Linked DNA regions of Sus scrofa. The protein of the gene in region 2 purifies or fractionates together with the protein of the main gene of each other region. This does not show direct contact. Links are inferred from orthologs where the notes say so. Each region holds a gene or a part of one and is shown on either strand. Other genes may lie near its edges.

Region 1 (9,631 bases), on a different chromosome or scaffold from region 2:
TGCCCACCAATAAAACTTCAGGACTGGATGATTTCACTAGTGAATTCTACTACACATTAAAGGAAGAAGTAATGCAAATATGACACTCTTCCACAAAATAGAAGAGGTTGGAACACTTCTCAGCTCATAGAAGCATAGGAGCATAATCATGCTACTAAAACCTGACAAAACTATTACAAGTATAGAAAATACAGGTCAGATTCCCTAAGGAACAATTATGGAAAAATTATTTAAAAATTATTAGCAAACACAATCTAGCAATATATTAAAAGGATAATCTCTTTTGACCAAATGTGGTTTAATCTAGAATGGCAAGGTTGGATTAATATTCAAAATAGTCAACCAGAATGGTTCACTACATTAATCAACCAGAATGATTCAGAATAAATTTAAAAAATTATGACCATATCAACAGATGCAGAACAGAAGCACCTGTTAATGATAAGGCTTCTTAACGATCTAAAAACAGAAATGGAATTTCCTTCATCTGATGAAACACTGAAACTATTTGATACTAAAATCAGGAAAGAAATAAGGATGTCTGCTCTCATTTCTTCAATATAACATTAAGCTGAAAGTTCAAGCTAGTGCTGTAGGGCATAAAATAAAAAAGCTTGGAAAGAATGAAGTAAAGATAACATGATTATGTACATAATCACCAATGGGACTACAAATTCTACTAGGAGTAATATATTTAGCAAGGTTTAAAACATGAGGTCATTATACAAAAAATAAATTTTAATTCTGAAAATTAGCCAAAATCATTTGCAAGATAAAATTTTAAAATAACATTTATAATGGAATAAAAATTGAAATATCTAGGAATCCAAAAAAAAAAGGTACACAACCTATACACTAAAAACATGAGATAAAGAAGTTTCAATAAATGGAAAGATACACCCTGTTCATATATTAGAAGATGCAAAATTACGATGTCCATTCTCAAAAATTGATATATAGTTTAATGAGATCCCATTAGAAATCCAAGCAATACGGCTTTAAGAATTTCAGGGAGGTCCCATTGTGGTGCAGCGGAAACAAATCTGACTATTATCCATGAGGCCTCATTCAGTGGGATCTGGTGTTGCGTGAGCTGTGGTGTAGGTTGCAGAGACGGCTCAGATCTGGTGCTGCTGTGGCTGTGGTATATATAGGCCGTCAGTTGCAACTCCTATTCAAACCCTAGCTTGGGAACTCCCATGTGCCACCAGTACAGCCCTAAAAAGCAAAAAATAAATTGACTAATTAAATTAAAAATTCATAATGATTGTAAAATTCATGTGGAAAGCCAAAAGGCCTAGAAAAGCTGAAACGATGTTTCACAATGAATAACAGAATTGGAGTACCTAACACTACCTGATTTTAAGACACAGTAAAAGCTGTAACAATCAAGACAGTGTTGTATTGTATAAGGACAAATTCGATGAAATGTAGTAGTGGGTACCTAGACTGACCATTCCTGGCTTCGGTGGTTAACAGCCTCTGCCTAGCCACTGTTACTTCGAGGTCTCGTCATTTCTATAGATATTAAAAAGTTCTTCTCTGTGACTGTCTCTCCTATAAGCTCTCACCTATAACAGAGACCGCCACTAAAATAGCTAGAGATGCTTTTGCCTCTCTCACTAGCTCATTGCTACTAATGGCTTTGGTGAAGCGTGTATACTCTTGGGGCACCAGGCTAACTCTAGGATATGTCTTCTGGGCTCACAATATATCCATTCTTACACGTTTACTACCCTCCTCCTCTTTATTCCTATTTGTACTATCAGTCAGGGCAACTCAGACATTTTCATTTTATTAAATGTAGGCCACAGCTTTTTCAGACTTCTGAGGGCCACTGTAACAGCAACCCTATGCCCTGCCATACTATGTCCTTGCCAGAATATAAAATCACATAGCCCCAAAAAGGGCCTCAAAGTCAATGAATTCTTACCTATCTGGTCTTAGATTCTGGCCCTCTTAGTCAAACTCCTCAAAATCCAACCCCAGTGCTATCTCTCTGGCCTCTAATGGCACATGCTAATTCTTATAACTGTTTTGGTGTATAGTCTCATTACTCCCTGATCAGGCTCAGCATGGCCTCAGCACATTATGCTGAGAGAGTCATCAGTGTGATATTGATCTGACCCTAAGAAAGAGGGAGGGAGGGAGGAAAGGTAGAAAGGGAGGAAGGAGGAGAGAAGGTGAGGTTGAAGGTAGGGGGTCAGGGAGGAAGGGAAAAAGCAAGGTAGAAAGGAAAGAAGGTAGATTAGTCTTAGACTTAGTAGGGTTCCAAGAAAGTTTTAGCCATGCTTACAGGAAGTCCTTGAGACAGTTAACATCTCAGAGAAATCTTCCATCTCCCAGCAACAGGCCTGCCTTACTATCCTTGCCATGCTCAGTTTTGGCTGGAAGCAGCCTGTGGGAAGCATGGCCTTGGTCAAACCAGGTGATGGAGTTTTCAGAGCAAAGCAGCTGGAGCTGTCAGTCAATTACCGTCTTTGCAATAAGAGGTCTAGTAGAGGCAAATTTTCATGGCTCCCACGTTCTAGCTGGGACAGCCTGAATGGCTGTGGGCTGGCTGGCTATCTATATATCTGCATGGCTACTCTATGATGAGCTTAGGCATTTGTACAGCCTAGGAATCTCAGGGTAAGTTGTACTTGCACAATGGCTTGGGGATTTAGAGGGAGTGTGCCAAGAGACCCAGAAGGAAGCTATAAGTCTTCTTATAACCTTGTCCTGAACCCCACATAGCATCATTTCCCCCATAGTCTTTATTTACACAAGGCCATCCCACATTCATGATGGAACAACACAAGAAGTGAGAGACCATCTTGGAGACTAGCTACTGTAGTGGGTTATACACACACGTAACCACTTGTAATTCTTCGTGTGCCTGCTACAAGTGACTCTGGCTTTGGCACTTTTCATAGTCTTCACTCACTGAAGCATTTAGAGTTTGGTCTATAAGTGACTCACGGGAGGCTGATTTGTTCTTAGATCCTTTAGCACATGTTTGAGAAACTTTTCCCCCAGTACTTTTCGTTGGATTGCTTTTATACCTATTTTGGACACTCATAGTTTATCTTTACAAATTTAACTGACAAAGAGTTTCAGTATTAACATACCATATGGCACTTACAGAAAAGCATATCGTTATTTCAAAAATAAAAATCTCTCAGGTCAGAGAATCCCTCCCAACAAAGCACCATGGAAATTCTCTTCCTAAAGAGCCAAAGACTACCTTCAAATGTTTTTCATGACTCAACCACTATTTATTTTAATTCTCTCTAGGCATGAAATGACTTTTTGAAAAAAAAAAGTCCTGTAAAGTTGTTTATAGACATTTCCTAGTTCAATAGTAATAAACATAATTTTCTGGTATAAATTTTAAAATAATGAAATATGTTAGATATGTGATACTTGTTCATTTAAACCTGTTCTTCTTACTCCAGTGTTTGAGACAATCTTGGGTAAAAGTGGCTTTGGTAAAGACAAGAAAGAGCTTTCCATAAATACCACACACGTTCCTTAATAAAAATAAAACCAGTCTTGGTTTAAGTCCAGCTAGGCTGCCTGCCTGTAAATTCATTATCAGTCTTTAACATGGCCCTAATGTATCTCTCCTACCCCCTGGCCACAGCAGAATTTTAATCAGGCTTTTCCCAAGCAAAGGATTTATCCACACTGGTGCAGACTTGATTTGGAACATTTTATTGGCAATACTGGTATCATATTTAGGAACCACAGACTTTTGTCACAGTGGGTTAGCTTGAATGACAAGTATCAATGGTCAACTATATTTGAAATATTGTTAAAGTACCTGGAAGTAATAGGCATTAAAATTCATTCCATTCATTGCAACAAACCTCTAAAGATTTCATGTCCTCAGTGGAACTGGCATACTGTAATTGTTATTTGGAACTTAATGTAACCTCAACAGCAACAGAGAGACAATGCGGTCCTCTCATTATGCACATGCTCTAGGATCGTTTATTTTAATGCTTTCAAATAAATATGTTCCATGCAGCACACCACAATAAATAAGGAGCAGCAATGTTCTTCTAGTAAATCCATTCATAATGTGAGTCACCACCATGTAAAACACCACATCTCAAGTCTCTGGCCCTGTCCCATATCATGAAGTACACCACATCTGCACCTAATCATATCTGGCTTCATATGGATTTAATAGGACTATGCCAGAAGTGCATGTAAGCACAAATTTAACCAGAGGTTTCCAGCTATTAAATACAGCTACTAAGTAGTTAAAAGGCAACAACTAAACCCATAAAGGCTCCACCCCCACCCCCATTTTTGAGACAGAAATATAAAGGTAGAAATGGTCTGGTGAATTTCAGGTCAGTGGACAGTAGGGTGGGATACATTTGGAATACTTGGAGCAAAGCAGGTACAACATGGCACCCCAAGGTCATGGCAATACTGATACTGAATGGACACTTAATACAAGTGGACTTGACGACTGCAGAGGCCGAGTTTGAGAAGGTCAAGGTGGGGGCAGTTCATTTCCACTAGGCGGTTAACTCAACAGTGCCTTCCTCCTCGCTATCAGCTCTGTTGGCGCGGATCTCCACGAGGGTCCTGGCAAATCGGGTCCACTCATCATTGTGGGGAACTGCGAGCTGCAAAGCAAATTAATGGAAGATGGTGAACAACATCTCTTTTATGTCTGAAAACTGAAGCCCATAGACTGTTGCTCCTGAAACAGACGTTTCCCCTGGAATGTAAAGAGTACCAGACAGTCGTCCTTGAATCAGATCGCTGAAGTATTGCTCTTAAACTGACAATTCAGGAGAATAATGTCATTCTCAGAAGCAAAATCACTCATGGGATTCAGAAAATATTAAAAACTTATGTGAACTGTACCATTAATATAGCAGCTATGTTAAAGCCCTTTCAGTGATGAAACTTCATCCTAAGAAGACCAGACTTACAGTGAGAACGACAAATAAAAACTGCTTTATTAGGAATTTTTAAATAACCATGATATTGTCTTAATAAGTGAATGCTATTGATTCCTTTTCAAAAAAGGGCTGCTAATATGCCAATATACATGACAAGAGTATAAATTACACATACGAAGAAATCTTACTACTGTGATATGAAGCTCTGGCTTTTCTATATGATGGTGCCTGTGAATAATAATAATAGTAACTAAGAGTTCTGTGTTACATATTCTACATATATTCTACTCATTCTTAACAGCAGTCCTATGTAGGATAATGTTAGTATTTTCATTTTACAGAAGAAACTGAGACACAGAAAGATTAAATCATTTTGCCAAGCTTGCAAAACTAACAACTATCAGTGCCCATGTCTTCTGGTTCCAGTATTTACATCTTTACCCAGTATGCTATAATGAATCACTGAAAAGGAGAATTTATAAAATTTCCCACATAATATCTTCTCCTGTGCAGAATTCAGTGAGGAGAAAATTAACTCCACCTGACACAAACTGCATGTATGAGTTTTTGTTAGCTGATTTAAAGGATAATGATTTCGCTACATAGCATTCAAAAATGAATTGTTTAAAGATATCATACAAGTGTTTGGAATAAAAAAAATATTTGAAGATGAGAAACAGGATAAAGTAGAAGTTTGAATGGTGTTCACATAGGATAAAATTTATTTAAACTGTGGAGCGGAGCCATTTTCTTGGAGGATTACCGTATAAGACGATGTAAACCATCAACAAATACTAGTTCTCCACAGGCTATCCATACATTCCATAAGCATTAATGGCACTCATTTGTTGCAATCAACATACATTTTCAAAAATAAAAAAGTAAACAAATCTAAACTTTGTGATCACATTTACAGCTGAAAGATTGCTTACAATATGAAGCCAAATGATTAGATTCTCTTAAAATTTTTATTACAGTGGATGATATTCTCAGATACCGTCTACCCAAGACAACTTACTGGGAAGTGGCAACATCATCCTACAAAGTATATCCTTCAATTAACGGTCTGGTCTTGAGGTTAAATGTTTCCAGGATATAATTCTGGAAATGATATACAGGTGGGGTAAGTTTTTTTAAAATGATTTATTTTGGTACTTCTTACTTTCTTATGTCTGATGTTGAGAAATGCATAAATTCTCATGTAGTTCTGAATGCTTAAATACTTCCCTAGTTACTGAAGTGCATCCAAATTCTTTTTTAGACAATGACACAAGTCAACAATAGTCTTAAATGGCACTGTTACCCCTTTGCTCAGTTCATTTTCTCTAATTTTGAGCTCTTTTCTCTGTTCCGCTACTATTCATTTTTCTCTCCAACTTTAGAAACTACTATACTGGGGAAATGAAGTCCTCAAAATCAATTATACAAAAGAGCTAATCAAAAGCAAGAGCAGCAATGGGTTGGCAACACATTTATAAAGAGTAGGTCCATTATTTCTTGTCTCTTCTCCATTTACTGACCAAATCTTCCCAAAAAAGAATCACAAAAGCCCAAGAAGAGACAAAAGCCAATCATGATAACATTTATAACTTTTTTTCATATAAGGTGAGAATCAAATTAAAATACCTCATAACTGCATATAACATTAAATATTGGGAAAAAACAGGTCTAACTAATAAAAGCTATACACTCTAAGGGTTTGGCTCCTAAAAACAACACTGTTATCTATTATTGGTACAGCACAGGGAACCATGTTCAATCTCTTGTGGTAGAACATGATGGAAGATAGAAAAAGAATGTATGTATGTATGACTGGGTCACTTTGTTGTGCAGCAGAAATAGAACACTGTAAATCAACTATAATTTCAAAAAAGATTATGAAACATTAAGGTTTGAGTATATGTCCAGATACAGTCTGGAACAGAATTAAGTATCATTGTGACATATATAGTTGCACATCTAACTTTCCAAAAATGAATTTTCTGAAATCTCAATATTCCTTTGTTAATCAAAGTATTTTATTTAGGTGTGATTTACAATGTTCTGGTTTAGAGCACATATATTCTTTTTCAGATCCTTTTCCCTTATGTGTTATTACAAAATATTGACTATAGCTCCCTATGCTATATAATAGATCCTTGTTGGTTATCTATTTTACATATAGTAGTTTGTGTACATTAATACACAACTCTTAATTTATCCCTCCCCGTCTTCCCCTTTGGTAACCGTGAGTTTATTTTCTATGTCTCTGGGTCTATTTTGGAAATAAGTTCATTTTTTATTTTTTAGATGCCCACATAGAAGGAGTATTATAGGGATTTGTCTTACTTCAATAAGTGCAATAGTCTCTAGGTCCATTAATGCTCCTGTAAATGGCAGTATTTCTTTTCTTTTTTTTTTTTTTTTTGTCTTTTTGCCTTCGCCAGAGCCACAGCAACTCGGGATCCGAGCCACGTCTGTAACCTACACCACAGCTCACGGCAATGCCAGATCCGTAACCCACTGAGCAAGGTCAGGGATCAAACCCACAACCTCATGGTTCCTAGTCGGATTCGTTAACCACTGAGCCACGATGGGAACTCTAGCATTTCATTCTTCTTTATGACTAGGTAATATATTCCATTGTATATATGGACCACATCTTCTTTATCCATTCATCCGTCAATGGACATTTAGGTTGCTTCCATGTCTTGGCTATTGTAAATGGTGCTGCCAGGAACACTGGGGTGCATGTACCTTTTTGAATTATGGTTTTCTCTGCATAGATGCCCAGGAGTGGGGATTGCTGGATCACATTGTATCTCTATTTTTAGTTCTTTTCTTTTCTTTTCTTTTTTAGGGCCATATGTGGCAAATGAAAAGTTCCCAGGCTAGGGGTCGAATCTGCTGTGGCTGCCAGCCTACACCATAGCAATGCTGGATCTGAGCCATATCTGCAACCTACACCATAGCTCACAGCACCGCCAGATCCTTAACCCACTAAGCAAGGCCAGGGATCAAACCCGCATCCTCATGGATGCTAGTTGGGTTCATTAGCTCTGAGCCACAATGGGAACTTCTATTTTTAGTTTTTTAACTAACCTCCCAAACTGTTTTTCATACTGGCTACACCAATTTACATTCTCACCAACAGTGTGTGGGGGGGTTCCCTTTCTCCACACCCTACAAATAATTTATTAGTTGTAGACTTTTTGATGACGGCCATTCTGACTTGAGTAAGGTAATACCCTGTTATGGTTTTGATTTGCATTTCTTTAATAATTAGTGATACTGAGCATCTTTTCATGTGCCTGTTGGCCATCTGTGTATCTTTTCAGAAATGTGTATTTAGATCTTCTGCACATTTTTGGCTTGGGTTGTTTGTTTTTTTGATATTGAGCTATATTAGCTACTTGTATATTTTAGAAATTAATCCCTTGTCGGTTGCATTGTTTGAAAATATTTTCTCCCATTCTTTAGTATGTCTTTTTGTTTTATGGTTTCCTTTGCTGTGAAAAAGCTTTTAATTATGTCCCATTTATTTATTTCTGTTCTTATTTCCATTATTCTAGGAGACAGATGTAGTTAATTGCTAGAATTTATGTCAAAGAGTATTCTGCCTATGTTTTCCCCTAGGAGTTTTATAGTATCCAGTCTTAATTTAGGTCTTTACTCTATTTTGAGTTTATTTTGTGTTAGAAAATGTTCTAATTTCATTCTTTTACATTTAGCTGTCTGGTTTTCCCAGCACCATGTATTGAAGAGGCTGTATTTTCTCCATTGTACATTCTTGCCCCCTTTGTCACAGGTTATTTGACCATACATGCACAGGTTTATTTCTGGGCTTTCTATCCTGTTCCATTGATCTATAGTCTACTTTTGTTTCAGTACCATACTGTTTTGATAACTGTAGCTTTGTAGTATAGTCTGAAATCAGGGCGGCTGATTCCTCCATCTCCATTTTTCTTTCTCAGGATTGCTTTGGCTATTTGGAGTCTTTTGTTTCCATACAAGTTAATTTTTTTGTTCTGGTTCTGTAAAAAACTGCCATTGCTAATTTGATAGGGATTGCACTGAATGTGTAGATTACCTTGGGTAGTACAGTCATTTTAACAATATTTATTCTTCCAGTCCAAGAACATGGTTTATCTTTCTATCTCTTTGTATTGTCTTCAGTTTCTTTCATCAGTGTCTTGTAGTTTTCAGAGTACAAGTCTTTTACATTCTTAGGTAGGTATATTCCCATTTATTTTCTTTTTGATTCAATGGTAAATGGGATCATTTCCTCAATTTCTTTTTGATCTTTCATTGTTAGTGTATAGAAATTCAATGAATTTCTGTGTATATTGTTATTAATATGGTAATAGTTATTTTACTTGTTAAAGAAATCAAAGTAACAATTTTAATATTTTTCATTTATAAAACATTAAATTCAGAGGTTAAGTTTAAATAAGTTTCACCAAAATCTTTGAAGATTTTTTTTAATTTTAATATAGTTGAGTTAAAATATTTTGTTTCAGGTATACAGCAAAATGATTCAATTATACATATTACATTTACATGTAAGTGTATATATCATTTTCCTCATATTTTCCATTATAGGCTATTAGAAAATATTGAATATAGTTCCCTGTATTACATAGTAAATCTTTGTTGCCTATCTATTTTATATATATTTTCTCTGTTAATCCCATATTCCTAATGTACCCCTCCTCCCATTTTTCCCTGTGGTAACCATAAGTTTT
Region 2 (10,164 bases):
CGGTCCCTGCCCTTGCTCAGTGGGTTAACGATCCGGCGTTGCCGTGAGCTGTGGTGTAGGTTGCAGACGCGGCTCGGATCCCGCGTTGCTGTGGCCCTGGCGTAGGCCGGTGGCTACAGCTCCGGTTCAACCCCTAGCCTGGGAACCTCCATATGCCGCAGGAGCGGCCCAAGAAATAGCAAAAAAAAAAAAAAAAAAAAAAAAAAAGGCAAAAAGACAAAAACAAAAACAAACTATTATAAGATGTTCAAAACACTTTCTTCTTTTTTTGTAGTATCATATGTGTGTCACATACATACACAAGAAGAAAAAAGCTGGCAAGTAGAAATACCCAGTAATTCCCCATACATACTTCACAACTCCTACAGAGACCTGCTCATTTCTGCTTTTTGATGTTCCTAAAACGAATGAATGGTTTTTCAAAACATATTAAGCTCTAAAGAAGCCAGACCCCAATCCTCCTTCATGCCAGCACCTGCCTGAGCCTGGCAGCCCATCTCACCATGTGTCCCTGAGACCTGTCCTGCTCCCACAACCCCCGCTGTCTGTTCTCTTCCCATGGCAGAGCAGGGCTGGAAAAGAGGGTTTTGATGCCCAAGACAGCAGCTGCACAGCCACACTGTGCTCTCTCTTGTTCTGGGGGACACCTCAAGGGGCCAGACATCAAACACCAGACAATATGGGATTCATCAGAGCCTGCAGGGTCCTGGCCAGCCCCCGCCTACTAGCCACCTTCACGTCACTGTCTAAGAAGAAACCAGGAGTTCCCTGGTAGCTCAGTGGGTTAAGGATCTGGTATTGCCACTGCTATGGTTCTGGTTACTGCTCTGGCAAAGATTTGATCCCTGGCCTGGCAACTTCTGCATGCCAAGGGTATGGAAAAAAAAGAAACCAAATCTTTCTTTACCTTTGACATGTGCAGTGGCCCTTTTACCAGTGTATAGATGTAGAGAAGCGGGTCTGATTAAAGGGTAGCTGCCCCAAACTCACAAGGGTAAGTTCCTCCTTCACAGAAAGGGGTCAGGGTCCCTGAAGTGGGAAGGCCCAGCAGAAGCCTGTGTCTACCTGGCCCTGGCTCTCTCTGAGGCAGCTACTCAGACCCGGGGCCTCAGCCACCATGTGCCCATGTGCACTAGGTACACCAGCCTGATCCTCAGGACAGAGGCACTCCTCCACGGCCACACAGGTCCAAAGGGCCCAGGCTGGGTCCAGTTGCTCCCCTAGAACCAGAGAGGGACAACAACGGCTCTGGTCAGAACAGGAAGCGCCTCCTTGCCTATCCAGGCAGCGCCACACTCATGCCTGGCCTCCCTCATGCACCAGTTGTGGAAAGGCAGCTCTTTCACAGCGCCCAGGCCACACATCCGAAGCCACACCCAAGAACACTGATGTACACAGCTGCTTGCTCCTCTGCTCCAAGTTCTAGGGTGGTCCAGATGAGCATAATCCTTACAGGATTTAGCCAAATGAGGACTTTTCCTGCCCTAAAGCAAACACTTGATGAGACTGGGCCTTGCACAGAGGCCTCCTCCTCCACAAGTGCCTGCCCTCTTGGGGAAGAATGCCTAGGCTCACAGCCTTGAGTGGAACACAACTTCTCTGTGCCTCAGTTTCCCCAGAAACAGACATAACAAAGTGGTGACCCTAAGGGCTGGTGGGAGGACTGCAGGAGTTGGTGGGGCATGGGGAGTCTAGGGCAGGAGCAGCTCCCCCACAGGGGTGAGGCCTGAGGGGCCCTCCTCAACAACCCCCGCCCCCCGCCACTGCCCCATGAGCTAGCTCCTGGCAGTGACTTCTACAAAGGTATGGACAGGAATCTGGTGTCCAACAGCCACTTACAGCTCGGTCTGAGCTACAGGACCTTCCTCAGTCACTTACACCCATCCTGACCTTGGCTGCCCCATCCTCTGAGAGAGGAGACTACAAGAGGGACGGGAATGAGGGAGGGAAGAAGACAGAGCAGCTGCTCCCCCCAGCTCTGCCACAGTTCTTCAGGAGGCTGCTGAGCCTACACATGGGAGGGACATCCGGAGGTTGGGAGCTGGCTTAGGTAAGTCCAGAGGTGGCGACCAGAGGAGGCTTTGAAAAGCGTCCAGTCCTTTAAGGGCAGGCGGGGCTTTCAAGATCCAAGACTGGCAGGGTGAGGACAGTAAAAGCAACCAGGACAAGGGGGAACAGGCTGAGCCAGGCCAGAGGCCCCAGGCAGCAGCTCAGGCCACCCTCTGGGAGACACAGTGGGGCCACGCCAAACCTCAAAAGAACAATGAACAGAGACAAGGTGACTACAGAGACAGCAGGGAGGGGATCCAGGCCTGGGTGAGATGGAGGGAAGGAGCTGATGACACCAGCTAGCAGAAACTTATTGAGTAAGCACTTACTATATATCCTGGGCACCAGTTCCAGCCTGTGACAGGCTGCAGCTCACCAAATTCCACCTGCACTGATAAGACCCCAAAGCGGCAGAGAAGAGAGCAAGGGCATCCATACCTCATCTTCCTTCTCTCTCTGGGAGCTGAGCAAGGGTGGGGCTGAGACTGCACCAGGACCCCAGCCACTGGCCTGGGGCATGCTCTCCAGCCCTCACATTCCCAACCTACAAGAACCACCCACTCATGGTACCTGCCCAACCCCCCCCTCCCAAGGCAGGAACTGTCAGCCCAGCACACCTGCCTTCTTGAAACTGCAGCTGAGGACACAGGGTAAGATATTCCACTGCTACTTAGGAAACACCATACGGCGCAAAATCTGTCCAATTCTCTTCCCCACCATGCTGGGAAGGGGGTATAGAAGAACTTGGGGCAGATGGGGACATTATTAAGCCAGAATGAGTCACCAGCAAAATGGTTAGACAAAATGGGCCAGTGGGTCCCTGCACACACCCTGGTTTCAGCAGGACACACACACTCACCAAGTGAGAAAGACCGCAGGGCCAGCACCACTGCCCACTGGCTCACGGAATCCTCCTCAGGTCTGGTCACAAACCCAATGACCTGGGACTGGCCAGTCAGCTTCCCCGCTTCAAAGTCAGTATTATCCACAAATGCTAGGCAGGGATGTAGGCGCCTCCACTTGCAGGATAATTTTTAGTAACTGAACCCAGTACAGTTGAAGAAATAAAGTTTTAAAAGAATGAAGATGGCTCATCTCTCTACAGAAAAATAATTTTAAAAAAAGACATTGGGGAGTTCCCGCTGTGGCGCAGTGGTTAACGAATCCGACTAGGAACCATAAGGTTGCGGGTTTGATCCCTGGCCTTGCTCAGTGGGTTAAAGATCAGGCGTTACCGTGAGCTGTGGTGTAGGTCGAAGACGTGGCTCAGATCCTGTGTTGCTATGGGTGTGGCATGGGCTGGTGGCCCCAGCTCCGATTAGACCCCTATCCTGGGAACCTCCATATGCTGCAGGAGCGGCCCAAGAAATGGCAAAAAGACAAAAAAAAAATTAAAAATAAAATAAAAAAATAAAAAAGATATTGGTTAAATCTTGATTTTTCAAATAAGAAACAATACTTTCAAGAATAATATTAGAAAAAATTAGAGAGGTTGACAAGGGTTTGAGTAAACTGGTACAAGCTTTCCTTAAACATCTACCAAGACTGTGATGCACCTTCCTGTAGCTTCTGCTGGGATTTCCAGCTGAACGGTTCTTATCCTACCTGCCACAGAGGAAACCAAAGTTCAGGAAAGTGGGATGTGTCCAAGGCCATGTAGCCAGTGTGTGAGGGAGCCAGGAGGTAACATCAAAAGAAGCAAGCAGACACCTGAAGAACACCTGTGCAAACTGATACAGTGTCTTCCCAATCCCCCTGGGGACCCACCCTCCAGACACACCCTACAAAACTGAGTCAAGATTCTTGCACCAGCCAAATGTGTGTAACAGTAAAGAGCTGACAACTGAAAGATTCCTAAGCAGGAGTAGCTAGCTCTGTGTGCAATCTTCCCTTCTGGTCTATTCTTACAGGGGATACCAAGTCAAGCTTGTGAACACAGAAGAGGACTGTGCATGCTGCCTGTGGGGGCTTGCTATGCACTCTGGGGGTGGAGGTGGGGGGGGGCTGGGTTCACCAAGGAGCTGCAGAGGGGGTGAGCCTAGGGTGCTCCCACTCCATAGTCTCAAGATCCCCTCAGCCCCCCTTCTTGGGCGCATTCCCCTACTTCACACACCAAGATGAGGCCCCTGCTGGAGAGGCCAAATGTCGCCCCTCTTGAAGATCTCAGAGGAGGCACCAATATAGGACCTGGGGTCCATGAGCTCCCTCACCCCCACTCCCATACCACATCAGTCTTCTACGGGTACTAACCGGGCACCTGTTCGAACAGGCATAGATTTAAATACCTTCATGAATTAATTCCCCTGCTATCAGAAGGGGACCAACTGGTCTCCCTCATGAAGCATGGAGGCTCAGAACAGTCCAGGCACCTGCCTAGAGCCACTGGAGTGGGGTGCTGGGAAGTGGGCAGCTAGGGAAGCAGCAAGCATGGTGGATCCTGAGGCCAAGGGGCCAAGGGTCCCTCTGGAAAAGGGAATTGTCAAGTGGGGCAGGGGCAGGCTCTCACAGAAACTGACAGGCTAGATGCCTGACACCTTGCCCGGACTTTTCAAATATCCCTCAGACCAACCCCTTCTGGGTGGGATGCTACAGAGCAAGACACTAAGGCCCCTGCTCACAGCCACACCTCCAGGAAGGGAAAAGGTTTCGGTCCAAACCTAGGTGTTTCACTCAGAAAGCAACTTCTTCCTCCCCACCTCCACAACAAGGCTGGGGAGTCAGGGAGGACTGGGAGAGAAAAGGATGTTTAAATCACCCATGAGAATTACTTTGTGGGAAGGCTGCCTAGCTCTCTGGCTGCAAGATTCTCTGGCCACCTTGGGATCCACCTTGCAGATCTCCCAAGTGTATATCGCACAGGAGACACAAGGCTCTATCAATGACAAGCATCCACAGACCTGTCACCCAATTGCAAGGAAGGGCCTGAGAAGGCAGCCAGGACAGGAAGTGGACAAAGGAAGCACTGTATCCCAGAGAAGTAACTAGTGGGGAGGTCAGAGAGAGCTGAGCACGGGGAGGGACAGTGGGGTAGTCCAGGCAGTGGCCACATGCAAAGCAAGCCCCCGACTTGGCCCTGGTATGGCCTCACAGCGTTCACGGAAGACTGTGAGACCGCTGAAGGCGGCTGAGTCCAGATGAAAGAAGTAATGTGCCTGTCCTTCCCCAGGCGGTCACCTGTGTCCATCCCATGCCCCCACCCAGAAAGCCAAATACCGCAAAGGACGCCACCCCACCGTGCCCAAGACCTGGCATCAGGAGCCTGTAGACAGGCTGGCCACACGGCCCCACAGCAGCCCTTGCCACAGAGACCAGAATTTCTACAGCGCGCACTGCCCACCACATCTGGGGCCCGCCCCCCACAGCAGCGCAGCCTCCGACCCAGGGCGCCCCAGTGCTGGCCTGAAAGGCCTGGGATATGAGGTCGGTTCGGGGGTCCGCCTGTCCCGGGGTCGAGGTCAGTTTGGCCTGGGTCGGAGGACAGCTCTGGGGTCGGCGCTGACGTCTGTCTGACCCGGGGGTGAGGAGTCCGGGTCGGGTGTGGGGATTGGCCGGGGTGGGGGCGCGGAGGGCGTGGCGGCGGCCGCCCTTCCTTACCTCCTTGAGCTGCTCCATCTCGCTGCGGATAGCCTCATAGTCCACCTCAAGCTCCTCAAACTGTAGTTTTAGCTGATGCTTCTCCTCAAGCACTGCCAGCCCGTACTCGGCCGCCTGGATCTTCTCACGCGTGGTTTCGGCCAGCTCGTGCGACAGCCGCTTCACCTCTGCGCGCAGCCACTCCGGCTGCGCCTCCATCACGAGCCGCGCGTACTCCTCCTCTTCGGACGACGCGGACATGGTGGCCACGGCCGGGGTCGTGCCACTCCCTCCGAGGCTCAAGCCCGGCTCCCGCCCGCCGCCCCTGGAACCGCCGCCGCCGCCACCCAGCCCGACGGCGCCCGGGCCACCGCCGCTGCCGCCGCCGCCGCCACCACCACGCAGCCGCAGTAAGCTCGCTGTCGCGCGGGGCACTGTGGGGACCACAGTCCCGCCCGCGGGAACTACAAGACCCGACGTGCTTCACGCGCAGTCTTCTCCCGCCCGTGATTGGCCTGCGCCCTGTCCCGGGCCGCCCCGTCCCATGCTGTCGCCTCCGCAGCCGCCGCGCGGGGCAATGTGGGGTACGTAGTCCCGCTCGCCCACCGACTACAAGACCCGTCGTACCCTACGACCGCCAGCCCTCGCCCGCGATTGGCCTGCGCAGCTGCCGTCGCAAGGCCGGAAACTGATATTTTTCCGGTGCCCCCAGCGGTACTTACGAGGCTAGGGTCGGCGGTGCGCTGGGTGGCCGGGGTGGCCGTGGACTGCGCTGAGCGGTGGGTGGGTGGAGCCGGGCACGGTGCTAACCGCCGTGAGTGGAACGCCCGGCGCGGCGGGGGCACCGCGGGCGGGGTGGCTGTGAGGACAGTAATCCGGTGGCTCAGACAGGCGAGGCCAGCCTAGCCCAGGACGTATTTAGTGGAAGATATGGTCAAACCGCTAGCAGTAGAGCCCACCTTCGCCTCAAATAAGTACGAAACGCCTCCTGCTTGTTTTCTAAGAATTAGGCATTTCCATGCGCCCTAGGATTATCCAGGTCACTGCAGTGGCCTCGAATCAGAGACGCGTGGCCAGCCAGCGTCGCGTCCCTGCCCTACCCTTGTAGCATGGGTTCTAGTTAAGTCCTTACTCTCGCTCAGGCTGGGAGACTTTCTCCCTCTTTGTCTCTTTGACCTTGATCTTTCTGAGGCATGCAAGCCATAAGTGTACACACCGATGCATCCCCATGGTTAGATTAGGTTATGCACTTTGGCAGGAGCATCAGGGTGCTAAATTCGCAGAATCCTGTCAGGAGGCAAGGGTATTCCTTTGTTATTACTATCCTATGAGAAGGCAGTTTAGATTTTGCAACTATCCCGTCACTCCTCAAGCTCTTGAAATTTTTATTGAGGTATTCTTGATTTATGATACATGAGTAAGGTGTACAACACAATGATTCACTATTTTTAAAGATTGTGCTCCATTTATAGTTATTATAAAATATTGATTATATTCCCTATGCTGTACAATATATCCTTTTAGCTTAAGTATTTTATAATTTGTACCTCTTAATCCCTTACTCTTATTTTGCCCCTCTCGCCTTTCCCTCTCCTCACTGATAACTACTAGTTTGTTCTCTTTATCTCTTTATCTACTATTAAAAGTGATAACATATACTATTTGTCTGACTTATTTAGTATGATACACTAGGTTCATCCATGTTGTTGCAAATGGCAAAATTCCATTTTATATATATACACCACATAATCTTTATTATCTGTTAATGGACATTTAGGTTTCTGTAACTTGGCTATTGTAAATAATGCTGCTATGAATATTGGGGTGCATGTATCTTTTCAAATTAGTATTTTCCTTGGATATATATCCAGGAGTGGAATTAATGGATCATATGATGGTTCAATTTTTAGTTTTTTGAGGAACCTTCATACTGTTTTCCACAGTGGCTGCACCAACTTAACATTCCTACCAACAGTGTACAAGGGTTCTCTTCTCCATGTCCTCACCAACTTGTTATTTGTGGCCTTTTGATGATGGCCATTCTAGATGTGTGAGGTGATATCTCATTGTGGTTTTGATTTGCATTTTTTTGATAACTAGCAATGTTGAACACCTTTAAATGGGCCTGTTAGCCATCCATATATCTTCCTTGGAGACCTTCTATTCAGGTCTCCAGCCTATTTTTTTAATCGGTGGTTTGTTTTTTCGATATTGAGTTGTATGAGTTCCTCAAACTTTCTACCAGTTTCCATTGATATTTCTTGCCTAAATGAATTACCATTATACTTTTTTTTCTGTTTTCATCATTCCTTCTGTACTTATTCCACTTCGTCGAAAGATATTTCATTCATTAGTGGTATGGATTTGTGGGTTCTTATTTTACCTAATGAGTTACAATCCATTACTCTCCTTATTCACTTAAATGTTCAAATATGGCACATGTGGCCAGTAGGAGCTCGTCCAGCTGGCTCTGTGTCCTTTCAACATGCCATGATTTTTGAGCATTTTCTGACTTTCTAGCAAAGTTGTTCCAGTATTGTCTTGTACTCTCTGTCCCAGACCTGGAATCAACCATTTCTCCAAGGAGCCCTGATTCCTTTCAGTGGTTTGATTTGTATGAGGAAAAACTGGCATAATTTTACTTGTGAAATTTAAAAAAATTCAGCAGGTTAAGGATCCGGTTTTGTCACTGAAGCAGCTTGGGTCACTGCTATGGCGTGGATTCCATCCCTGGCTTGGGAAGTTCTACATGCCCCAGGTATGGCCAAAAAAATTCAATAAAAATTTTAAATTAAAAAAAAATTGTAGGGCAATACTCCTACCCATAGTAGGAGTAGGATGTCCAGTCAGCCTGTCTGACCTGGCTTTTGCACAGAGAGCACCAAGTCCTAGGAGACCATCAGGCCTAGGTGCATCATTTAGTCTAAGTGGGTGAGATCATAGAGGAAAGCAGGGAGAAGGAACAAGCCTTGTTTGAGCAAGGTTAACGTGGGAGGAAGGAATGGTGAGAAGTGGTGGCCCCTTCTGACCCAAGCTGGCCAAACTCAAAACCCTGCCCCCTCCACACCTTCATGTGGGGTTGGCCTGAGGAGGGAGAGGGGGAAAAGGCTGTGGGAATCTGGTGCAGGCATTGACCGTGGAGCTTAAAATGGAAACAGAGTGATTGTGGAAGGGGACAAGCAGTGATTCTCCTAGGTGCTGGGGACAGAGGGCCTGTCACCAGAGGAGCCATGATGGGTGATAGTGTTGGGAGGACAGGCATCAGGACAGGGTTTAGGAGACCCAAAGAATGCATAGAAAGTGGCTGGTCAGGCTGCTGGTATAAGGGATTGGCAAGATAGGAAGCAGGGCCACTGCTTGTTAGGATCCAACTAGGCCTCCAATATTGCCAGTTACTTGACCTCCATCATCTCATTGAATCCTCCCAACACCCCAGGAGGTGGGAATTATGCTCTCTGATTTACAAAAGAGGAAACAGGCTCAGGACAAAATTCTTCCCACCACCTTGGACTTCTTACACCCCTCATTTGATCTGCCAATCTGTATGTAAATGACAGATCCAGCCTCAGCCTCCAGCCCTCCCAACTGTGGTTCCCTCTGTAGCTTGAACCTTATTGCCTTCTACCTGAACTATTTACTCACTTCCCCACTAGCCTTCCCCCAACCCCCTCACCCTATCTTTTCTCTCACAGCAGCAGAAGGCTCTTCAGACCCAAGGCAGGTCACATGCCCTTACTCAAAACCCTTTTGGTATTTTCAGGCTGTTAAAATAACACCACAATTGGGAGGCTTATAAGCAAGCCTTATTTCTCAAGGTACTAGAAGTCCAAGATCATGGTGCCAGCAGATTCAGCATCTAGTGAGAACCTCCAGTGAACCCGCTTCCTCTTCTCTCACATGGCAGGAGAGGTGAGGAGCTCTCTGGGGCCTCTTTATAAAGTCAATCATTTCCTCATGGGGACTCCAGCCTCATGACCTAATCACCCTCAAAGGACCCATTGTTCCTAACATCCTCACCTTGGGGGTTAGCATTTAACATGTAAATTGTGAGGGCACAAACCTTAAGATCACAGCCCCCTCCCAGAGGCACAGGCTGATTATCTCCCAGACCCTGCCCAGTCTCTGGAGTGGCCCTTCTGCCCTCCTGGCTTGCTCCCCTTCCTGGCTTTATCTTCCTCCATGGCATCCTATACATTAAAGTTACTCATTTTTGCACTTTTGTCTTACCTTGAATATCAGCTCCAGGAGGGACCATGCCTCAGAAGTCTCCTGACCGACACCAGGGGCTCAGGACACCAGTGGAGACCGCCCGTACTTACTATCCCCCACTCCCTGGACTCTACACCCCTCCCTGGGATGGACAATATGAGGGAATGGAGGCAGCTTTGGCAGACTGGGATGCCAGAGAACATCCATGGTGCCCCTCCCCAAGAACAACTGGGTGACCCTTGGCCTAGGGACAAAGGTAAGTGATGTTGTTATGACAGATACCCAGCAGCCCTGCGCTGCAGTGTATCAGCTCTGGCGACAGCCCCATGGCTA
Region 3 (10,298 bases), about 5.1 Mb from region 2:
ATACAGATGCTCGAATGGTCATCTGAATTCTGTAAAAGTGCAGTAGCAATTTAATGAAGAAAGTATAGTCTAGGGCAATTGGGCATCTAAATGCAAAAACAAAAGCTCAATATAAACCTTCTGCCTAGGGGAGTACCAACTGTGGCTATGGTGTAGGCCAGCGGCTACAGCTCTGATTAGATCCCTAACCTAGGAACCTCCATATGCCAAGGGTTTGGCCCTAAAAAAAAAGAAAAGATTCATAAAAGGTCTGGTAGGTTGCACCTCATCAGAATCACAAAACATCTGCTCTGTGGAAGATGATGGGTAGAGAATGAAACAACGCACTGCAGATCGGGAGAAAACGTTTTCCAATACATGAAGGCCTGGAGTTCTTGTGGTGGCACAGTGGTAAGGAATCCAACTAGTATCCATGAGAAGGAGGGTCTGACCTCTGGCTTTGCTCAGTGGTTAAGGATCCGGCGTTGCTCTGAGCTGTGTAACTTGCAGATTTGGCTCAGATTCCAAGTTTTTGTGGCTGTGGTTAGGCCGGCAGCTATAGCTCTGATTTGACCCCTAGCTTGAGAACTTCCATATGCCTCAGGTGTGGCCCTAAAAAACAACAACAACAAAAATAATACATGAAGGCCACTCAAAACTCCACAGTGAGACTTCTGTCAGCGAAAACGGAGTTAACAACCAAGGTAAGAAGAAAAAAGGGGATTTTATTTGAGCGAAATTTAGGATTATAACCTGGGAAGCAAGTTCCCGGAAAGCTGAGAACCCTCCACTTGTTAAAAGTCAAAGGTACAGTCATATGTTTTCAAGACAAAGGATGGTACATCCAAGCGACACACTGATTGATATTTTACATGAAGTTCACCAAACATAAATAGTCCTGCTGAGCACATACAAAGGGCAGCGGGTCCCCATGACCTCCTACAGAGCTAGAAAAGAACACTAATTATTATTATTATTATTATTTGCATCGTTCAGGTCAAATCAAAGTTCCCCAGCCAGGAAATGAACCTGTGCCACAGCATCGACAGTGACAACTCTGGATCTTTACCCCTCTGCACCACAAAAGAACTCCAAGAAAGCTATTCTTTTAAGAAGTTAACATTGCCAGCTCAGGAAAAACAGGGAAAAATGATTTTTACCTTCGAGTGGGTACTCCCACTTTTTTTTTTTCCTTGCAGCATGTGGAAGTTCCTAGGGCAGGGATGGAACCCAAACCACAGCAGTGACAATGCTGGATTCTGGATCCATTGAGCCACCAGAGAACTCCTGAAAGCAGAAGTTTCGTTTTGTCTTTTTAGGGCCACCCCCATTGCACATACAGGCTCCCAGGCTAGGGGTCAAATCAGAGCTGTAGCCACCAGCCTATACCACAGCTCACGGCAACTCCGGATACTTAACCCACTGAGCGAGGCCAGGGATCAAACCCTCATCATCATGGATACTAGCCATTTTCGGTTCCACTGAGCCATGATGGAAACTCCTGAAAGCAGAAGTTTTTAAATGAAAATTATGTCCAAGAACAAACCATAACGTTGGTGGCAACAAGCAGTCATGTTGGTTCCTCCTGTTTTCTGAGGTTGTCTATGAACATTTTAATCTTATCATGTCTTCCAAGTTCAGTCATGAGAATTTTCTTAGGGCTACCTACAAAGCAGTCTTTTAGGTTTACTAGAGAATGATACAAATTTAGAAGCTGAGAAAATGATGGGATGAACTGACAGTATTATCAATGATTCTGAAGAAAAAAATGAATCATATGATACATGAAAGAGAATGTGTCTGCCACGGATGACAATCTGCCACAAGGACAGAGGGGCTTGAGTGGAAAAAAAAAAAAATGAGTTTGATCAGCTTCAGTGCTGGGTGCCCGTCAGTTAATTAATTCAGAAGTTGAGGGCTCAGATTAATCAGGTAAAACTGGCTAATAAAAAAAAAGTCGTAAGCCAGATATTTCTATGGTTTCAACTCTCATTTGAATTAAATTTGCAAGGCATCAACATGAGTGATTGAGGCATTAAAGTGGCATCTGACAACTTGCAAAGAACATTAGTTAGCTGTGTGATTCAGAGGAATTGCTTGTGAGAATAAGTTTGGATGGAACTGGTCCATGCTGAGAAAAGAAGGGACATCTTCCTGGAGAAGAATGTTCATTTTTAAAGCCCAGCAGAAGAGACTCATCCCCCCATTTGGCAAAAACCAAGGTTTCAAAGCATAATAAATGTACTTAAGGAAAGCCTTTTTTTTTTTTTTTTCTCTTTTTAGGCCACACCCATGGCATGTGGAGGTTCCCAGGCTAGGGGTTGAATTGGAGCTGCAGCTGCTGGACCACATCACAGCCACACAACGCAGGATCCTTAACCCACTGAGCAAGGCCAGGGATCGAACTTGCAATCTCATGGTTCCTAGTCACATTCGTTTCCCCTGTGCCATGACGGAAACTCCAAGGAAAGCCTTTTGAGAACGTCAAGATTTTCTCTTCAGCCTACTTCTTTTCTGTATCTTCAACTACAGCAGATTAAAAGTAGTCATTTTACTAGGTGTGCTTGGGAAAATTGCTTGACCATTCACGCCCTTTGTTTCTTTATAGGTCAATTTATGCACAATAATAAGAGTAACTTCACGAAATTGCTGGGAGAATCAAATGAAATTCACTTGCAAGTAAGCTTTGGCTATTATCACCAACACTGTCCACAAGGCTTATGACAGCCAAGTTGCCACAGAACCCAGTCCTACGACTTCACCTGCAGGCTGGGCATCTCCACTTGAATACACAAATGGAAACTCAGGTGAAATAAATCAACACCTAAAGTGAGATATTCCATCCAGGACCAGTTTTCTTTACACTGTACTTCCGTTAATTATGCCAATCCCAGTAGCAACCTCACAATTGATCCTGAACCCAGTTCCCTCTGCTTACAGCTCAACAGGCCAGTACATCGGGATACTGAGGCCAGGAATAATGACTTTAATTGGAAAGCCGGCAGACTAGTGTCTCAAAAAAACCATCTTGCCTTTCTCTGAATTCAGGTTCCTTTTGTACAGAGAAAGGGGAGGGGGAGAGGCCAGTGGTCACTCACCAATGGTCCCTTGCTTGGGGGAAAGGCCCACTGCAATGCTGACCTGAGGCTGAGCAGGACCACTAAAGTTCACCCACTAACAGTGGCTTGTTTACAGAATCATTCCTGCCTTAGTACTCTTATTCATATCCAAAATGACTGAAATGAAATAGGACGGGCTGATTTTCCCTCTTTACAGAGGCAGTAATTGGTCATTGCCAAGTTTGGAAAATGGGAGTTCCCATTGTGGCCCAGCAGTAACAAATCTGGCTAGTATCACAAATACCATGAGGGCTCCGGTTAGATCCCTGGCCCTGCTCTGTGGGTGTTGCCTGAGCTGTGGTGTAGGCTGGCAGCTGGAGCTCGGATTTGACCCCTGGCCTGGGAAGTTCCATACGCCGCAGGTGAGGCCCATAAAAAGCCAAAAAAAAAAAAAAAAAAAAAAAGAAGGAAGTTTGGAAAATGGAAAAATAAAAAAGGATAGATTCTAAGTGGCCAGGCGACTTTTAAGTGTTGGATAAAACCATAAAGTCTATAAGCAAAAAATAAAAATAAACCATAACTATAAATTCTAAACTCCCTGTATACACTGATGTGATCTGCTGAAATCTGAAACCTACTGAAAACACCTTATTTTTGCTTTGTAAGGCTACACCCAAGGAATACTGAAATTCCCAGGATAGGTGCTGAATCAGAGCTGTAGCTGCCCGCCTACACCATGGCCACAGCAACGCGGCATCCTTGTACCATTGAGCTAGGGCAGGGATCGAACCGGAGCCCTCATGAATATTGGTCGGGCTCTTTTCTATGGAAGCACAACAGGAGCTCCGGAAGACGCTTTCTAAACGCCTACGACTGGCGCCGAGGTGTGACTGTTAGGAACGTCCGTGGGTTGGACCAGTCCCCGTCGCCTCGTTGTCACTACGTCACCTTCGCATTCCCGCGCACCTCGCTAGCATAGTCACCACCGAACGCCGGCGCCCGAGGGCCTGCGCGGCGCACAGTGATGACGCAACACGCACGTACGCACGCATGCACGCACGCGTGTCTGCCCCTCGCCGGCTACGGAGCTGCGTCACGGACCTTCGGGCGCCGAGCTCCTGAGACGGCGGCAGCTGCGGCCTCGGCGCTGGCGTCCCTCGCGCGGACCCCGCTCGGCGGCGCGATGCGGCGTAGCAAGGCGGACGTGGAGCGGTACATCGCCTCAGTGCAGGGCTCCGCTCCGTCGCCCCGAGAGGTGAGCGGGATGGGCGCGCGGCCTCCGGGCGGGCCGCGGCGCCATGGCTCCCACTGAGGCGCGGCCGGCGCGCGGGGGGCGGGGAGGCGGCGGGCGGGCGTTGGCGCGGCGCTCCCTTCTGCTTTTCCTTCTCCTTCTCTTCCTCTTCGTCCTCTACGGCGCCCGGCCGGCCCCGCTGTGCCCACTGCCCGGGCTCCACGCCGAGGCGCTGCCGCTTCGGCGCGGCCGCCTCGCCATCCCTCACACTCTGCATTGGAAGCTGCTTTTGCCGACTTTCGTTTTCCCGCTGGGTCGCGGGGGTTCTGAGTTCCTTCCCGGGCCTTATTGCTGGGGTAGACGTAGATGTCTCTTAGGGTACTTCCCCTTGTTCCCACGTAGGGAGTTGGCCACATCGTGGATCCGACCGGACGTGGTGCCTAGAGGGGACGGGGACGGGGACGGCGAGTAGGGGGTGGGCGCAGGATCCCGAGTCACTTCCCTGGGGTGGAGTCATAGCTATGCTGGACACAGGCTGTGGGATTTGAAGCAAGTTCTGTTTATTTCGTTAATAGGGCGGAATCAGGCTACTGATAGGAGTTTTTAGTATGTCCCGTGTTAAACATTAACGGAAGTGTTTAGCGCATTAAGTGCTCGCAGTAGATATGGGTGTTAAAGTACAGTCATTTAAGGTGTTCCGGGTAGGGGAACTTCCATATGCTGCGGGCCTGGCTCTTAAAAATAAATAAATAAATACATAAAAATGGAAAAGAAAGGTGTTTTTTTTTTTTTTTTTTTAGTGCCATCTTGACAGTTGTGTATTGCTGTTGTCATAAACTTCCTCTGTCTTTCAAATTATGAATTCGTGGGAGGTCCCTGGTAGCCTAGTGGTTAAGGATCTGGTGTCACTGCTGTGGTTCAGGGTCAGTCTCTAGCCCAGGAACTCGCGCATGCCGCGAGGATCAACGCAGGATCCAAGCCACATCTGCAACCCACACCGCAGCTCACTATACCGCAGCTCATTTAAAAAAAAAAAGTATGAATTTGTGGGTTGGGGAAGAAAGGCTCTGTATATTCAATTCTGGTGTATTCCTCTTTTTGCTTTTTATTTATTTAGTCTTTTTAGGGCCGCATCTGCGGCATATGGAGGTTCCCAAGCTAGGGTCCAATCGGAGCTGTACCTGCCAGCCTAGCCAGAGCCACAGCAACGCCAAATCCCACCACGTCTGCGACCTACACCACAGCTCCCGGCAACTCCAGATCCTCAACCCATTGAGTAAGGCCAGGGATCAAACCCTCAACCTCATGGTTCTTTGCTTTTTAAAATCGTTTCTTGCTAACTACAGTTCTATCCTTCTTGACCTGTTTTTCTCGGGTGTTTAAGATTCCTGAATGAAGGTTAAGACTGTCTGTAGTTCGAGTACATACTATTAAGGCTGTACAGTAAATACTGTCATAATAACATTATGTGGAATTATTTCTTAGGTGTATGTCACTGTTTTGACATAAAATTAGAACATACATATATTTTTTGTTTTGTTTCATTTTTAGGGCCACACCTGTGGCACATGGAAGTTCCCAGGCTAGGGGTTGAATCAGAGCTGCAGCTGCTGGGCTACACCACAGCCAAGCAGGATCCAAGCCGCATCTTCGACCTACACCGCAGCTCACTACCCTGCAGCTCACAGCAATGACTGATCCTTAACCCACTGAGCAGGGCCAGAGTTCAAACCCACATCCTCATGGATACTAGTTGGATTTGTTATCACTGAGCCACATGGGAACTCCTAAAATTAAAGTATATTTTCATCAGCTTTATTGAGGAGTAATTTACATGCCATACAACTCATCATTCAAAATGTACAGTTTAGGAGTTCCCATCATGGTGCAGCGGAAACGAATCCGGCTAGGAACCACGAGGTTGCGGGTTTGATCCCTGGCCTCTCTCAGTGGGTTAAGGATCTGGTGTTGCTGGGAGCTGTGGTGTAGGTTGCAGACATGGCTTGGATCTGGCATTGCTGTGGCTCTGTTGTAGGCCAGAGGCTACAGCTCTGATTCAACCCCTAGCCTGGGAATCTCCGTATGCCTCAGGTGCGGCCCTAAAAAGAAAAAAAAAAAAGTACAGTGTAATGAGTTTTGGTACATTATATTGTTGATGTTTTAAATTATGGTAAACCAGGTGTAACAAAATTTGCCCATTTTAACTACTTTTACGTGTGTAATTCGGTAGTGTTAATTGCACAGGTAATGTGCCACTTTCACTACTATTTCCAAAATTTTTCATCACCACAAACAGAAACTTTGTAACTCTTGAGTGATAACTCCCTAGGTTCCTCTTCTCCCTAACTAACCCCCGGTTACATTTAATTTACTTCTGTATGAATTTGCCTATTTTATTTTATTTTGTTTTATGTTTTTGCTTTTTAGGGCTGCACCCACGGCAAATGGAGGTTCCCAGGCTAGGGGTCAAATCAAAGGTACAACTGCCAGCTTACGCCAGAGCACAGCAGTGCCAGAAGCGAGCCGCGTCTGCAACCTGCACCACAGCTCATAGCAATGCTGGATCCTTAACCCACTGATCAAGGCCATGGATCAAACCCATGTCTTCATGGATACTAGTTGGGTTTGTTAACCACTGAGCTACGACAGGAACTCCCCATCACCATCTATTGAAGAGACTCTTCTTTTTCCATTGAGTGGACTTGGCACGTTTGTCAGAAATCAGTTGGCAGTAGCTTTATGGGTTTATTTTTGAGCTCTCAATTTTGTTTCATTAGTTTGTTATGTCCATTCTTATGTCATTACCACGTTGTGTAATGTGGTAGTGCTGTAGTGTTGTAGTTCAGTTTGAAATTGGGAAGTGGTGAGTTTTCCAACTTTGTTCTATTTCAAGGATGTCTGTTTGGGGCCCCTGCAGTTCCATATGAATATAAGGATTGCTGTTCCCATTTCTGTAGAAAGGGTTATTTTTCATTGGCACTGCATTGACTCTAGATTGCTTTCGGTAGTTGACAATGTTAGGTCATCCATTCATGAATACGTCTTCCTCTACTTAGGTCTTTTATTTTTTTCAACAGTGTTTTAATTTTTCATTATATGGGTTTTTCACCCCCCTGGTTAAATTTATTCCCAGGTACTTTATTCTTTTACGTGCTCTTGTAAATGGGGCTGCTTTCTTAATTACCTCTTTTGCTTGTTCAGCACAGGTGACTTTTGTCTGTTGATCTTGTCCCCTGCAGTGTTGCTGTTTTGGTTTCTTAGCTCTAGGTTTTTTTTTGCATGTGTGGATTCTTTGTGATTTTCTCTATATAGGATTGTATCATCATATTAATAGAGATAGTTTCATTTTTTTCCTTTCAATTCAAATTTGGATGTTTTTTATTTCTTTTTCCTGTCTAAGTATTCTAACTAGAGCTTCCAATACAATATTAACTAGGAGAGGTGAAAGCCAGACTTCCCACTATGACACAGTGGGTTGGGAATCTGACTGCAGCAGCCCTGGTCTCTGCAGAGGTGTGGGTTAGATCCCCAGGCAGGTGCAGTGGGTTTAAAAGGAGCTAGCATTGTCGAAGCTGTGCCTTGCATTCAGTCCTTGGCCCAAGAACTTCCCTATGCCGTGGGTGCAGCCATTAAAAAAAAAAAGTGGTGAAAGGCATTCCTAATCTTGGGGAAAGCCTTTAATCTTTTATCACTGCTAAAAGATACTAGCTGTGGGCTTTTCACTAATGGCTTTTATAATGTTGTGGATATTCTTTGCTTTTTGAGAGAATCCTTGTATCCATAGTTTTCTGAGAATTTTTAGTCACGGATGGGTATTGGGTTTTGTCACATGCTTTTTTTGGTAGCATTTGAGATGATTGTGTGGTTTATTTCCTTTGCTCTTTTAATGTGATGTATTAATTTATTCATTTTCTTGTATTGAGCCCCTCCTTGCATTTCTGGTATAAATCCCATTCGATTATAGTGTGTAATACTTTTAACATCCTCTTAGATTCATTTTGCTGAGGGTACTTGGTTGAGAATTAGAGTTAAGAATTCTTTTTTTTGGAGTTCCCATCGTGGCGCAGTGGAAACGAATCCGACTAGGAACCATGAGGTTGCGGGTTTGGTCCCTGGCCTTGCTCAGTGGGTTAAGGATGTGGCGTTGCTGTGAGCTGTGGGTCGCAGATGTGGCTCGGATCCCACACTGCTGTGGCTGTGGTGTGGGCCGGTGGCTGTAGCTTTGATTGGACCCCTGGCCTGGAAACCTCCATGTGCTGCAGGTGTGGCCCTAAAAAGCAAAAAAAAAAAAAAAAAAAAATTCTTTTATTTAAAAATTTTTTTTCTTCTTTTTCTTTTTAGGGCCACACCCATGGCATATGGAGGTTCCCAGGCCTAGGGATCTAATTGGAGCTACAGCTGCTGGCTTACAACGCAGCCATAGCAACTCAAGATCCAGGTCTCGTCTTCGACCTATACGGCAGTTCACATCAAAGCCAGGTCCTTAACCCACTGTGTGAAGCCAGGTACCCAACCCACAATCTCATGGTTCTTAGTCGGATTTGTTTCTGCTGCACCATGACAGAAACTCCAAGAATTCTTTTTTAAATTAGACTTTTTGGAGTTCCCGTCGTGGCGCAGTGGTTAATGAATCCGACTAGGAACCATGAGGTTGCAGGTTCGGTCCCTGGCCTTGCTCAGTGGGTTAAGGATCTGGCGTTGCCGTGAGCTGTGGTGTAGGTTGCAGACTCGGCTCGGATCCCGAGTTGCTGTGGTTCTGGCGTAGGCTGGTGGCTATAGCTTCGATTCAACCCCTAGCCTGGGAGCCTCCATATGCCGCTTGAGCGGCCCAAGAAATAGCAACAACAACAACAACAAAAGACAAAAAAAAAAAAAAAAAAATTAGACTTTTTTCCTTTCTTTCTGTCTGTCTGTCTGGTTTTTTTTTTTTTTTTTTTTTTGCTTTTCAGGGCTGCACCTGTTGTATATGGAGGTTCCCAGGCTAGGGGTTGAAACAGAGCTGCAGCTGCTGGCCTACACCACAGCCACAACCACTCAGGATCTGAGCTTCATCCTCCACCTACACCACAGCTAACAGCAATGCTGGATCCTTAACCCACCAAATAGAGGCCAGGGATCAAACCCACAACCTCACGGTTACTAGTCAAATTTGTAACCTGCCGAACAACAGTGGGAACTCCCTAATTAGACTAATTTTTTAGAATGGTACTTTCACAGAGTTCCTGTTGGGGCTCAGTGGTTAACCAGACTAGTATCCATGAGGATACAGGTTCGATCCCTGGCCTTGTTCAGCGGGTTAAGGATCCTGTGTTGCTGTGGCTGTGGTATAGGCCAGCAGCTACACCTCTGATTCTACCCCTAGCCTGGGAACCTCCATATGCTGAGGGTACAGCCTTAAAAAGACAAAAGACAAAAAAAAAAAAAAAAAGAACAGTAGTTTCACAGCAGAAATGCAGTGAAGGTAGATTTCTTCATACTCCCTGCTGTACAAGTGCATGGCCTCCGCCATTGTCAACACTTCCCCCAGAGTAGGATACTTGTTGAAAGTGATGAACCTACAATTACTATGTTCTTGTCACCCAGAGTCCACAGTTTACCTTAGGGTTCCCTCTTCATGTTGAACATTCTGTGGGTTTAAGGATGTGTATCCATCATTACTGTGTCATACAGAATAGTTTCACTGCCCTCAAAATCTCTGTGCTTGGCCTCCTCATCCCTTCTTTCTCCCAGCTACTGGCAACCACTGATTTTTTTATTATCTGCATAGTTTTGCCCTTTCCAAAATGTCATATAGTCGAATCATACAGAATGTAGTCTTTTTAAAATGACTTCTTTTACTTAGTAGTAAAGATTTAAGTCTTCTCCATGTTTCTTTTTATTGGTTCCATTGCCACCTGAAATGCCACTGTGCTGCTGTGTTGTCTTGCCTAGATGGGAATCTTAGAAGGATTCAGTCAGAACCTCACTGATGTCAGCCGTGACTCAGTTGCTTCTCAGGAAAGCTTATGCCCCCATTGTCTGAGCTGTGG

Evidence for each region.
Region 1: the proteins of BICD2 (region 2) and DYNC1I1 purify together in Homo sapiens (affinity purification with western blotting; 4 studies listed by BioGRID and IntAct, with this or other methods). This does not show direct contact. The link is inferred for Sus scrofa from reciprocal best matches to the Homo sapiens genes BICD2 and DYNC1I1.
Region 3: the proteins of BICD2 (region 2) and E3 SUMO-protein ligase RanBP2 purify together in Homo sapiens (affinity purification with western blotting; 3 studies listed by BioGRID and IntAct, with this or other methods). This does not show direct contact. The link is inferred for Sus scrofa from reciprocal best matches to the Homo sapiens genes BICD2 and RANBP2.

The regions. Positions count from the first base shown.
Region 1 is NC_010451.4:75,754,572-75,764,202, reverse strand, and holds the end of DYNC1I1 (cytoplasmic dynein 1 intermediate chain 1), read right to left. Parts: intron 4,626-9,631; coding exon 4,515-4,625; 3' UTR 3,676-4,514; downstream 1-3,675. UniProt on the Homo sapiens protein: Acts as one of several non-catalytic accessory components of the cytoplasmic dynein 1 complex that are thought to be involved in linking dynein to cargos and to adapter proteins that regulate dynein function.
Region 2 is NC_010445.4:42,450,767-42,460,930, forward strand, and holds the start of BICD2 (protein bicaudal D homolog 2), read right to left. Parts: upstream 6,056-10,164; 5' UTR 5,884-6,055; coding exon 5,644-5,883; intron 1-5,643. UniProt on the Homo sapiens protein: Acts as an adapter protein linking the dynein motor complex to various cargos and converts dynein from a non-processive to a highly processive motor in the presence of dynactin.
Region 3 is NC_010445.4:47,595,144-47,605,441, reverse strand, and holds the start of E3 SUMO-protein ligase RanBP2, read left to right. Parts: upstream 1-4,113; 5' UTR 4,114-4,221; coding exon 4,222-4,293; intron 4,294-10,298. UniProt on the Homo sapiens protein: E3 SUMO-protein ligase which facilitates SUMO1 and SUMO2 conjugation by UBE2I. Involved in transport factor (Ran-GTP, karyopherin)-mediated protein import via the F-G repeat-containing domain which acts as a docking site for substrates.